Linked DNA regions of Solanum lycopersicum. The protein of the gene in region 1 binds, or shares a complex with, the protein of each later gene. Links are inferred from orthologs where the notes say so. Each region holds a gene or a part of one and is shown on either strand. Other genes may lie near its edges.

The links.
Region 2: dolichol-phosphate mannosyltransferase subunit 1 (region 1) and dolichol-phosphate mannose synthase subunit 3 share a complex: the UniProt entries of both Arabidopsis thaliana proteins name them as parts of the dolichol-phosphate mannose (DPM) synthase complex. The link is inferred for Solanum lycopersicum from reciprocal best matches to the Arabidopsis thaliana genes DPMS1 and DPMS3.

Annotation. Positions count from the first base shown.
Region 1 is NC_090803.1:67,947,970-67,952,301, reverse strand, and holds the start of dolichol-phosphate mannosyltransferase subunit 1, read left to right. Parts: upstream 1-1,367; 5' UTR 1,368-1,525; coding exon 1,526-1,620; intron 1,621-2,976; coding exon 2,977-3,076; intron 3,077-3,174; coding exon 3,175-3,208; intron 3,209-3,296; coding exon 3,297-3,373; intron 3,374-3,916; coding exon 3,917-3,942; intron 3,943-4,019; coding exon 4,020-4,184; intron 4,185-4,332. Other genes in the region: 1,4-alpha-glucan-branching enzyme, read left to right, coding at 435-650. UniProt on the Arabidopsis thaliana protein: Transfers mannose from GDP-mannose to dolichol monophosphate to form dolichol phosphate mannose (Dol-P-Man) which is the mannosyl donor in pathways leading to N-glycosylation, glycosyl phosphatidylinositol membrane anchoring, and O-mannosylation of proteins; catalytic subunit of the dolichol-phosphate mannose (DPM) synthase complex.
Region 2 is NC_090800.1:456,202-460,691, forward strand, and holds the start of dolichol-phosphate mannose synthase subunit 3, read left to right. Parts: upstream 1-1,386; 5' UTR 1,387-1,541; exon of another isoform or gene 1,542-3,156; intron 3,157-3,281; exon of another isoform or gene 3,282-3,426; intron 3,427-4,228; 5' UTR 4,229-4,233; coding exon 4,234-4,335; intron 4,336-4,434; coding exon 4,435-4,490. UniProt on the Arabidopsis thaliana protein: Regulates the biosynthesis of dolichol phosphate-mannose. Regulatory subunit of the dolichol-phosphate mannose (DPM) synthase complex; essential for the ER localization and stable expression of DPMS1.

The DNA.
Region 1 (4,332 bases):
AACAACAACATACCTCATGTAGTCCCACAAAGTGCAGTAAAGGGAGGGTAGAGTGTATGCAAAACTTACTCCTATCTTAGAGGTAGAGAGGATTTTTTCAATAGACCCTTGGCTCAAGAAAAAGAAGTCCAAAAAGAAGTAACAGAAGTGAAAGCAATGCGTGTAGCTAAGCGACCCATCTTGTTTGGGACTGAAGTAGTTGTTGTTGTTGTTGAAACAGTGCATTTAGATGAACGCATGTCAGAAATGGACAACACAATTATTTGTGCAAGTCAAAAAATGTACTACTAATCTTTGTTCAGGTTTATGTTTAGAAAAGTTAAATAAATGAATTTTGCAAGTAGAAAGATTGCTGGGAGAGAAACTTATTTATATTGAACTAAGCTAAACTATATTCATCTTTTTTTTGCTTCTTCTTCGCCTTGTTTGTGAAGGCTTATTACAGAGTTGACGAATGCATGTCAGAAACTGAAGTTTACCAGACAGACATTTCTAATGAGCTACTACCAACAGCCAATATCGAGGAGAGTGACGAGAAACTTAAAGATTCATTATCTACAAATATCAGTAACATCGGTCAGACTGTTGTAGCTTCTGTTGAGGAGAGAGACAAGGAACTTAAAGATTCACCTATCTGTAAGCATCATTAGTGATGTTGTTCAAGCTGACTGAGGTGATTCGGATGCAAACGTCTGGATCAGATGTCTTCTACGTTGGTGATCTTAGTCCGCGCATGTTGCCTTCAGGGTGGTAGCATTTCCTCTGCAAATTATTAGCATCCAATAAATTTACTGGTTGTAAATAGAAAAAATGCATTTGCATGTATGTGTTCCTCTGAAATTTTCCCAGTTTTTGGTGCTTTGCCTTTGAAGCCAAGTCTCTATATGTAATAAGAAGACTAAGAACAATCACATATATAAAATGTTACTAGTAGATTAGATTACAGTCTCTCATTCTGTTCTTTTTTGGTTCATTCTTTCCAAATCCAAAGTCATTTTTATCAAAGATATTTCATTAGGCATTCGAATTAAGTCATGTTTTAATTAAATGCTTCGACTTCTAAAAAAGTGTTTCAAATAGATAAGTACGAAAATTTGAAACCGCATTTGTGTGTTCTCATTTATCTATAGTTAAGTTAATCACGTAAAATATGTTATCTTGTTTAACTAAACGTATTCGCTAAAATAATAAACTGTAAATCATAGACGTTTTCTACTTATGAGTGATGCATTCAATTAAATAAGATCACATATTTTATGTAGTTGATTTAACTAATAGATAAATAAAAATAAATCCAAACTTTTACGATTCGAACAAAAAGTGTCTTAGTGAAATATTTTATTATGAAGTTGAGGTACTCAATAAATATTTTCACAAGTTTTAAGAGGTTGTCTTTTTTTTTAAAAAAAAAACAAAAAACAAATCGGGGCCCGATTACAACTCTCGGGTCAGTCTTGTTAATGGTGGATTAATCTCGGTATATTAGTATTGAACTGAAAAAAACTTCAATTTTGAGATCAACAAAATGGGGGAGAAGAACAAGTACAGTATAATTATACCTACCTACAATGAACGTCTCAATATTGCTCTCATCATCTACCTCGTCTTCAAGCATCTCACGTAAACACTCTTTCTCTCTATCCCGTTTCTTTTTTTTTTGTGTGTGTGTGTGTGATCACTGCTATTAAAGTTTCTGTCTTTTTGGAAAATATTTGCATCTGGAAAAATGGGTTTTATGATTTATTAGAAAAGAATTGTTTTTTGGTTTTTATATTCGATCTTCTGTAAGCAACTTAAATTTGGCATGAATTGGAGCTGTGTAGAGGAAATTGACTAGAATTTTGTTGAAGTTGTTGCTATTAAGATCGTTTGTGTAATATCCCAGCATTGATTAATTGAATTAATCTATGATCTATGTGAAAACGGTTATCTTTATCATCAAAATCTAGGAAAAGGTAGTCTTCAATTTTGAACTGAATAGGAGAGGAGAAATTAGAAAGGAGTATAGAATGAAATGGAGAAGAAAGTAGATAGAGTTAAGAAAAGAGGCAAGAAAGTGTAAAGAAGAAGCGAAACGAAACAGAGAGCAGAGAGGAAGATCGGGTGATAGAGAGATTAGATGACCAGTATAGGTATAGAAGGGAGAGAGGAATGAGCATTTTCCACATTTTCAGAAGCTTTTTCTACCCCTAGCTTCTATCTCTTTGTGTGTTTGTGAGTGAGATGTTCAGTTACAACTCATGTGCCACCCATGTTCTCACAACTATTTGTGGATTCATGACAGTTTGATTTAAATTTGAGTTAGATAGGCATGAGAATTTGTAAAGATTGTATCTTTTTGGAATCTAATATAGATGGTTGGGAGCTTTCGTGAGGATTGTAACTTTTTGAGGGAATCCATTGATTAGTAGGCTGGAAAATAACGTGGCTTACACCCAAATTCCAAGTGATTGTTGGCAGATATCACTTATCAGGAGCAAATTTGGAAAGGGCTATGTCAAAACATTTTACAGTTCTTGGAATCAATTTTCACCATTTATAAATTATTTTCGAAGATGATCTTTCTTTTTATAAGGAATTTGGGGGATCTATGCATTAATTTTTGTATGGATGAGGAGTTAGGTTCTGTCCTTTACATGCTTACCATTTTTTTCATATTTATTTGCTCATTGCTAATAATATTGATGCTCAACCACGAGAGAAGACATTGTTATTGAGATTGATTTATATAGATGTCAGGTCCTGTTTTATTCGACCACATTGTTGTTTATGACGCAAGAAAAATGTACACCATGTTCATGACATCATTTAGTGTCTTTGAGGGGGATGTTCCCATTTTGAGGACTAAAATTCATTTTTCCCTTGTATTTGAATTAAATCTCAGCTTATTTTTTCATATGCAATATTTAGAGGTGATAAAATCATGTAAATGCATAAGCAGATTCTTATTGCAAAATTTGTTTTTTCTTGACTCAGGGATGTTGATTTTGAAATAATAGTAGTGGATGATGGAAGTCCAGATGGCACACAGGATATTGTCAAACAATTGCAGAAAGTATATGGAGAAGATCGTATTGTTAGTAGCTTCTTACTTCATCCAGTTGTTGCACATTATGCTTCCCTGATCATACCAGTTTATCATCTCACTTTGCTCATTTCTCTTGTTTACTACAGTTATTAAGACCTCGACCTCGGAAACTTGGTCTAGGTACTTCCATTTTATTATGATAACCATGATTTCTTTTTCATACGAAGATGTTAGCCATGAATAGTCTCTGACATTCCTCTTATCTCAGGCACTGCGTATATTCATGGTTTGAAGCATGCCTCAGGCAATTTTGTTGTTATTATGGATGCGGATCTTTCTCACCATGTAAGTATGATTGAAGATAAGGGCCTCGTTTGGTTTCCTTTTATATTTTGTCTTTTTGTTGTGAAATGTCCTTTATCTATTTGTTGGAACATCAAGTGTTTTTGTTGGGAAAGGAACAGAAAGGGGATATGTGGTGTGCAGTGGGTTTTTTTTATGCTTGATGTTATGGGAAGAAACGATTCAAATAGCTCTGGGTGTGTATATCGAATAATTAAATTTATTTTTTGGGTTAATCGTTATTTTTCACGCCCTCATTGTTGCACTATTGCATATCCTGTCTGTGCCTGCGGTGATTTAGTTCCCCCAGCATCCAGCACCCTCAATAGTAAGAAAAAGGGCAATTTGTTCCTTGGACAACTGAAACTTGATAGTGTAGGCCCACTTCATCAAAACTTAAAAGTGTAGGACCAAAAATCAGTGACTTCCTGAATTTAATTATGTGAGCCTGTATATTGTTAGTCTGTCTCATAAAATATTAGTCTCTATACCAAGCTTATTTGATTTTAAATTTTATGGTTGATTCTTTTATACTTTTTTTTACAGCCAAAATACCTGCCAAGATTTATCAAGTGAGTATTTGTTTTCTTAAATTTCAGTTTTCTTGTAATGGTGAGCACTAGAACTATAATTTAAATTTTATGTCTAGGAAACAAATGGAGACAGGTGCCAATATAGTTACTGGAACTCGATATGTTTCTAGTGGTGGTGTCCACGGATGGAACCTTATGCGCAAATTGACGAGCAGGGGAGCCAATGTCCTTGCACAGACACTACTTTGGCCGGGTGTATCAGACTTAACTGGATCCTTCCGGTATGTTTTAATTTGGAAGTAGAGGAAAATCTGTGGTTCGATGAATTGTTATGAGCATATTTAGGAAATGTACTTTGCATAAACCATAAGGGGTTGCTTAGATTAGGATTACTTCCTAATATCTGGGACTTCGGCGTGGAGATTATAA
Region 2 (4,490 bases), on another chromosome or scaffold:
TTTTAGTGACGACTTTTACAGGCATTAGCGGCGACAAATGTTGCTACTAAAACATACTTTCAGTAGCGACTGCTATAGGCATTAGCGCGACAAATGTTGCTACTAAAACATACTTTCAGTAGCGACTCCTATAGGCATTAGCGGCGACAAAGGTTGCCACTAAACACAATTTTAGTAGCGACTTGTATAGGCCACTGAAACATACTTTCAGTAGCGACTCTTATGGGTATTAGCGGCGACAAAGGTTGCCACTAAAACATACTTCCAGTAGCGACTCTTATGGGTATTAGTGGCGACAAAGGTTGCCACTAAAACACACTTTCAGTACGACTCTTATGGTATTAGCGGCGAAAAAGGTTGCCACTAAAATTTCTTTTAGTGGCAACTCTTATGGGCATTTGCGGCGATAATGTTGCCACTAAAACAACTTTCAGTGGCGATTCTTATGGGCATTGGCGGCGACAAAGGTTGCACTAAAACATACTTTCAGTGGCAATCTTATGGGCATTAGCGGCGACAAAGGTTGACTAAAACAACTTTCAGTAGCGACTTTTGGGTATTAGCGGCGACAAAAGTTGCCACTAAAACACACTTCAGTAGTGACTTTTATGGGTATTAGCGGCGACAATGGTTGCCACTAAAACACACTTTCTTGTGGAGACTCTTATAGGCATTGGCGGCAACAAAGGTTGCCACCAAAGGACATCTTAAGTAGCGACTTTTATAGACATTAGCGGCGAAGAAGGTTGCCACTAAAACACACTTTTAGTGGCGACTCTTATCGGCATTGCTGGCGACAAAGGTTGCCACTAAAACACACTTTTAATGGCGACTCTTATAGGCATTGGCGGCGACGAAAGTTGCCACTAAAATACACTTTTAGTGGCGACTTTTATAAGCATTGGTGGTGACAAAGGTTGCCACCTATAAAAGTATTTGCCTCCAAAAGGAATCCTAGAATTCCGTCAGTTTTCTGGCCCTCCGTATCTAAAGATAGATGGCTAAAGGGCAGGTTCCACAGCTAACTAAGAAGGCGATTGATTGGCTGAGTCAAAGCTTCATGCCCTTCTTGAATTGCAATCATTGAGTTACACTTAGCGACTTTTATAGGTATTGGCGGTGACAAAGGTTGCCACTAAAACACATTTTTAGTGACGATAAGTGTCACAATTTTTTTTTTAAAAGTCATAACTATTTATTAAAGTCGTTACTTTTCAATAAAAGAAACATTTTCTTGTAAAAATCGCAACTTTTCATTGAAATCACAATTTTTTATACATAACTTTTTATGAAAAGAAATGCCAATTTTAAAAATAAATAAATTAAAAATAAAATTTGATTTGATGGCTGGGGTTAAGAATTTCTTTTTATATAATTAAATAAAATAGGCAGACACGTCAACTGCTGTCTGTTAGAGGTGTCTGAACTGTATATTAAATTTGTTGAAAAAATACCTTAAATTAATTTTTGTTAAAAAAAGAAAAACACAACTGCAAAACCTGATTGGAACTGATCGGAGCAGGCTTCATATTCAATATCAGGTTTGTTCCCTTTTATGATTTTAGTTTTACTTTTTACTAATTATTTTCTTTGTTCTAAACAAAAGATTTGATTTTTATCATGTGGGTGTGATCTAAATTGGCTAAAATTGTATTGGGATTTCTGTAAAAGTTTATGGGATCAGTGTTATTGGTGATTTTTTTAGGTGATTTTGTGAAAAGATTAGATTTTTATCATCTGGGTGTTATCAAATTGGTTAAATTGTATTGGGGTTAATGTAAAAATTTATGGGATTGGAGTTATTGGGTGATTTTTTTAGGTTTGGTGGATTTTAAGGTGATTTGTTGGTAAAAAGTGAAGCAGCCATAGTGATGTTGCACTAATCTTTTAGCACAGAGAATAAATCACCATGGATTCATATGAATCAACAAAAACAGTTAGGACCAAGGTTATAAGGGGATGATTCGTTTAGGACTTTTATCGAACTGTTCATCTGCACCTTAGACAACCCCTTTTAGTTCCATTTCAAACGCGAATAAATTCAACTTATTTCCACAATCTTCCCTAGAATCATGATACTGAAAGATGGCTTTCATCCTTCGCCTTGTTCTGGTTGTCACTGACGGTTTTTTCAAGAAGTCTTTGACCAGTGTCGTATGCTGCTGTTGTGAATGGTTCAGGGAATTTGTTGCTGCTTTTCAGCTTATGGCTTCTGGAGGTCGTCATCCATTTGCTTACAACAAATGCATGAATATTTTCAATGAGGACTAGACACTAAGACCTTATTCATTCCTTGTCAAATGTTTACAGCCGACTTAATTTTTGGTTTACTCACTGACAGTGTTGATTACTTCTATGTTTGGAGATGCTGAGCCTCCTGTATCTTTGATATTTCTCCTTGTTTCATCTCTACTAGTCCTCACAGTTGGTTTAGGCGAACAACATCACATTGTCTAGTCCATCAAAGCTGTTGTGTTCTTAAATAATGGAGTGGGGATTTTCGATATTGGAGAAGGCAATGATATGCCAGCAAGAAAGTCAATGGATGAGAAAATGACTGTCCCCTGTATTACTTTTTGGACTGACTCTTTATCTGTTCTATGGTACACTAATCTACTACCTTTCCATGAGGATATACTATCAGCTATTCTAGTGTTCTCAACTTCTTTAAGAATCTGTTACATGGCCTTGAATTCGCACTAATTAATTGTTATACGGAATTCCGTTGAGGAGTTGGATCAACCATTTAACAGTAATCATCAACTAATGCTCTGGCTTGGAAAGCAGAAGCGAATATCTGTGTTGCATCTTAGTTACGAAATTGTTATTACACTACTCCCTAATGGAATTTAGACAGAGAAGCATGTTTCACTTTACGAGAGTGATAGTTTTTCACTGTTGACATTTCTGCACTTGAACCTTGAGGACAAGGTTCGTATTCAGGAGGGTGGTATTGTTATGAACGGGCCAGGACCAGTATGGGCAAACCAGCTCAACACCGAATTAAGAGACTATGTTTGGGATCCGAGTTGATAAATATGACTTGTGGAGCAAATTAGACTTATGCAGATGGTTGAGAACCTAGTCCTCTCATCCCTTTGCTTTGAGTTTAAGCTTCTCATCTCCCTTCTAGTTATATTCTTCAATAGTTTCCTTGTGAGTTCCATTTTCCCATTTAACTTTGAGTGTAGTGATTATAATATTTGAGTGTTTCTATTGTGAAACTGGAGTTGTTACAGAAAATATGTTGTTGATAATGCTTGCTTATCTGGTGAATGTAGATCCGATACGTTTCCTGTAACAATAAACAAATGGAGAGAAAGGGTGAGAAACAATTTAGATGGTGCAAACCAACGGAATATTTGTGGTTGGAAAGATTCAAGCAACAAAACTAGAACACATCATCAGTTAGAAGAACATTGCTAGGTAGTAGGTTTTAGTTCTTTCATTTTTTTCTATCTGATCTTCTGTATCTGCACCGGATTTTAGTTGTTGGCTTTCATATAGTGCTCCATAATTTTGTTAGTTGGTTGCATCATCCAGTATTTTGTTAGTCTAGATTTGAAGTTTTTATAACTTTTTGAAAACTAATATGGAGGTCTTTGCTTTCTGTTTTCTTGCATTGGCTTTGACACTGACATAGAAAAGTAGTTTAATTCCAAAGGAATGATCATAATATCAACTAACATTGGACATCCATGTGGACATCCATGTAGGCCGTGAAGTTTCATGTTAACAATGCATTTGTTTGTGACTTTCTACACACTTGGCCTCTCAGCCAAAAAATATTTACAGCCCCTAGCTGATGTACATAAATTATACACGGCAACTCTCTCTCTCTCTCTCTCTCACACACACACACACATATATATATACTGTGTAAAAATCTCGTTGTTGTTTTATAGATGTAGATCAATTTGGGATGGGGGCGGGGGTGAGAGAATAACACAGAAGCCATTTCTGTAATATTGTTAGCAAACTTTCTCCTTACAACCAAAGAATGCAAAATATTTCACTCACCTACCAACATTGAAATTCTTTTGCCACTCACCAACCAAACACTGGAAAATAAGTAAGAAAACCTCTTATTTTCCTTCAAATCAAAGACACCCTGATAGTTAATTGAGTTGGCTTCTTAATGTTTCAGTCGTTGACTTCTATTATATGTTAATCAATGAAAAACTTTAGTCTCCTCTATTACTCACATCAAATTAATGCATCACTGCAGATCCAATGAAACATATCGTGAAGATTTTGGCGTTATTGCTTGCAGTAACTGCTGTTTGGATAGGCTTGTTGCAGACATCAACTATTCCAGAGAGCTATACCTGGCTGGTGAGCTCTTATTGACTGACCATCTTTCTGTTACCTTTGGGCTTTGGCAAAGTTTCTTACTTTTCAGTGATTCTTAGTTTATTGCTATCGCTGTTGCAGTTGCCTCTATACCTCATTGTGTCCCTTGGTTGCTATGGTCTGTTAATGGTTGGTGT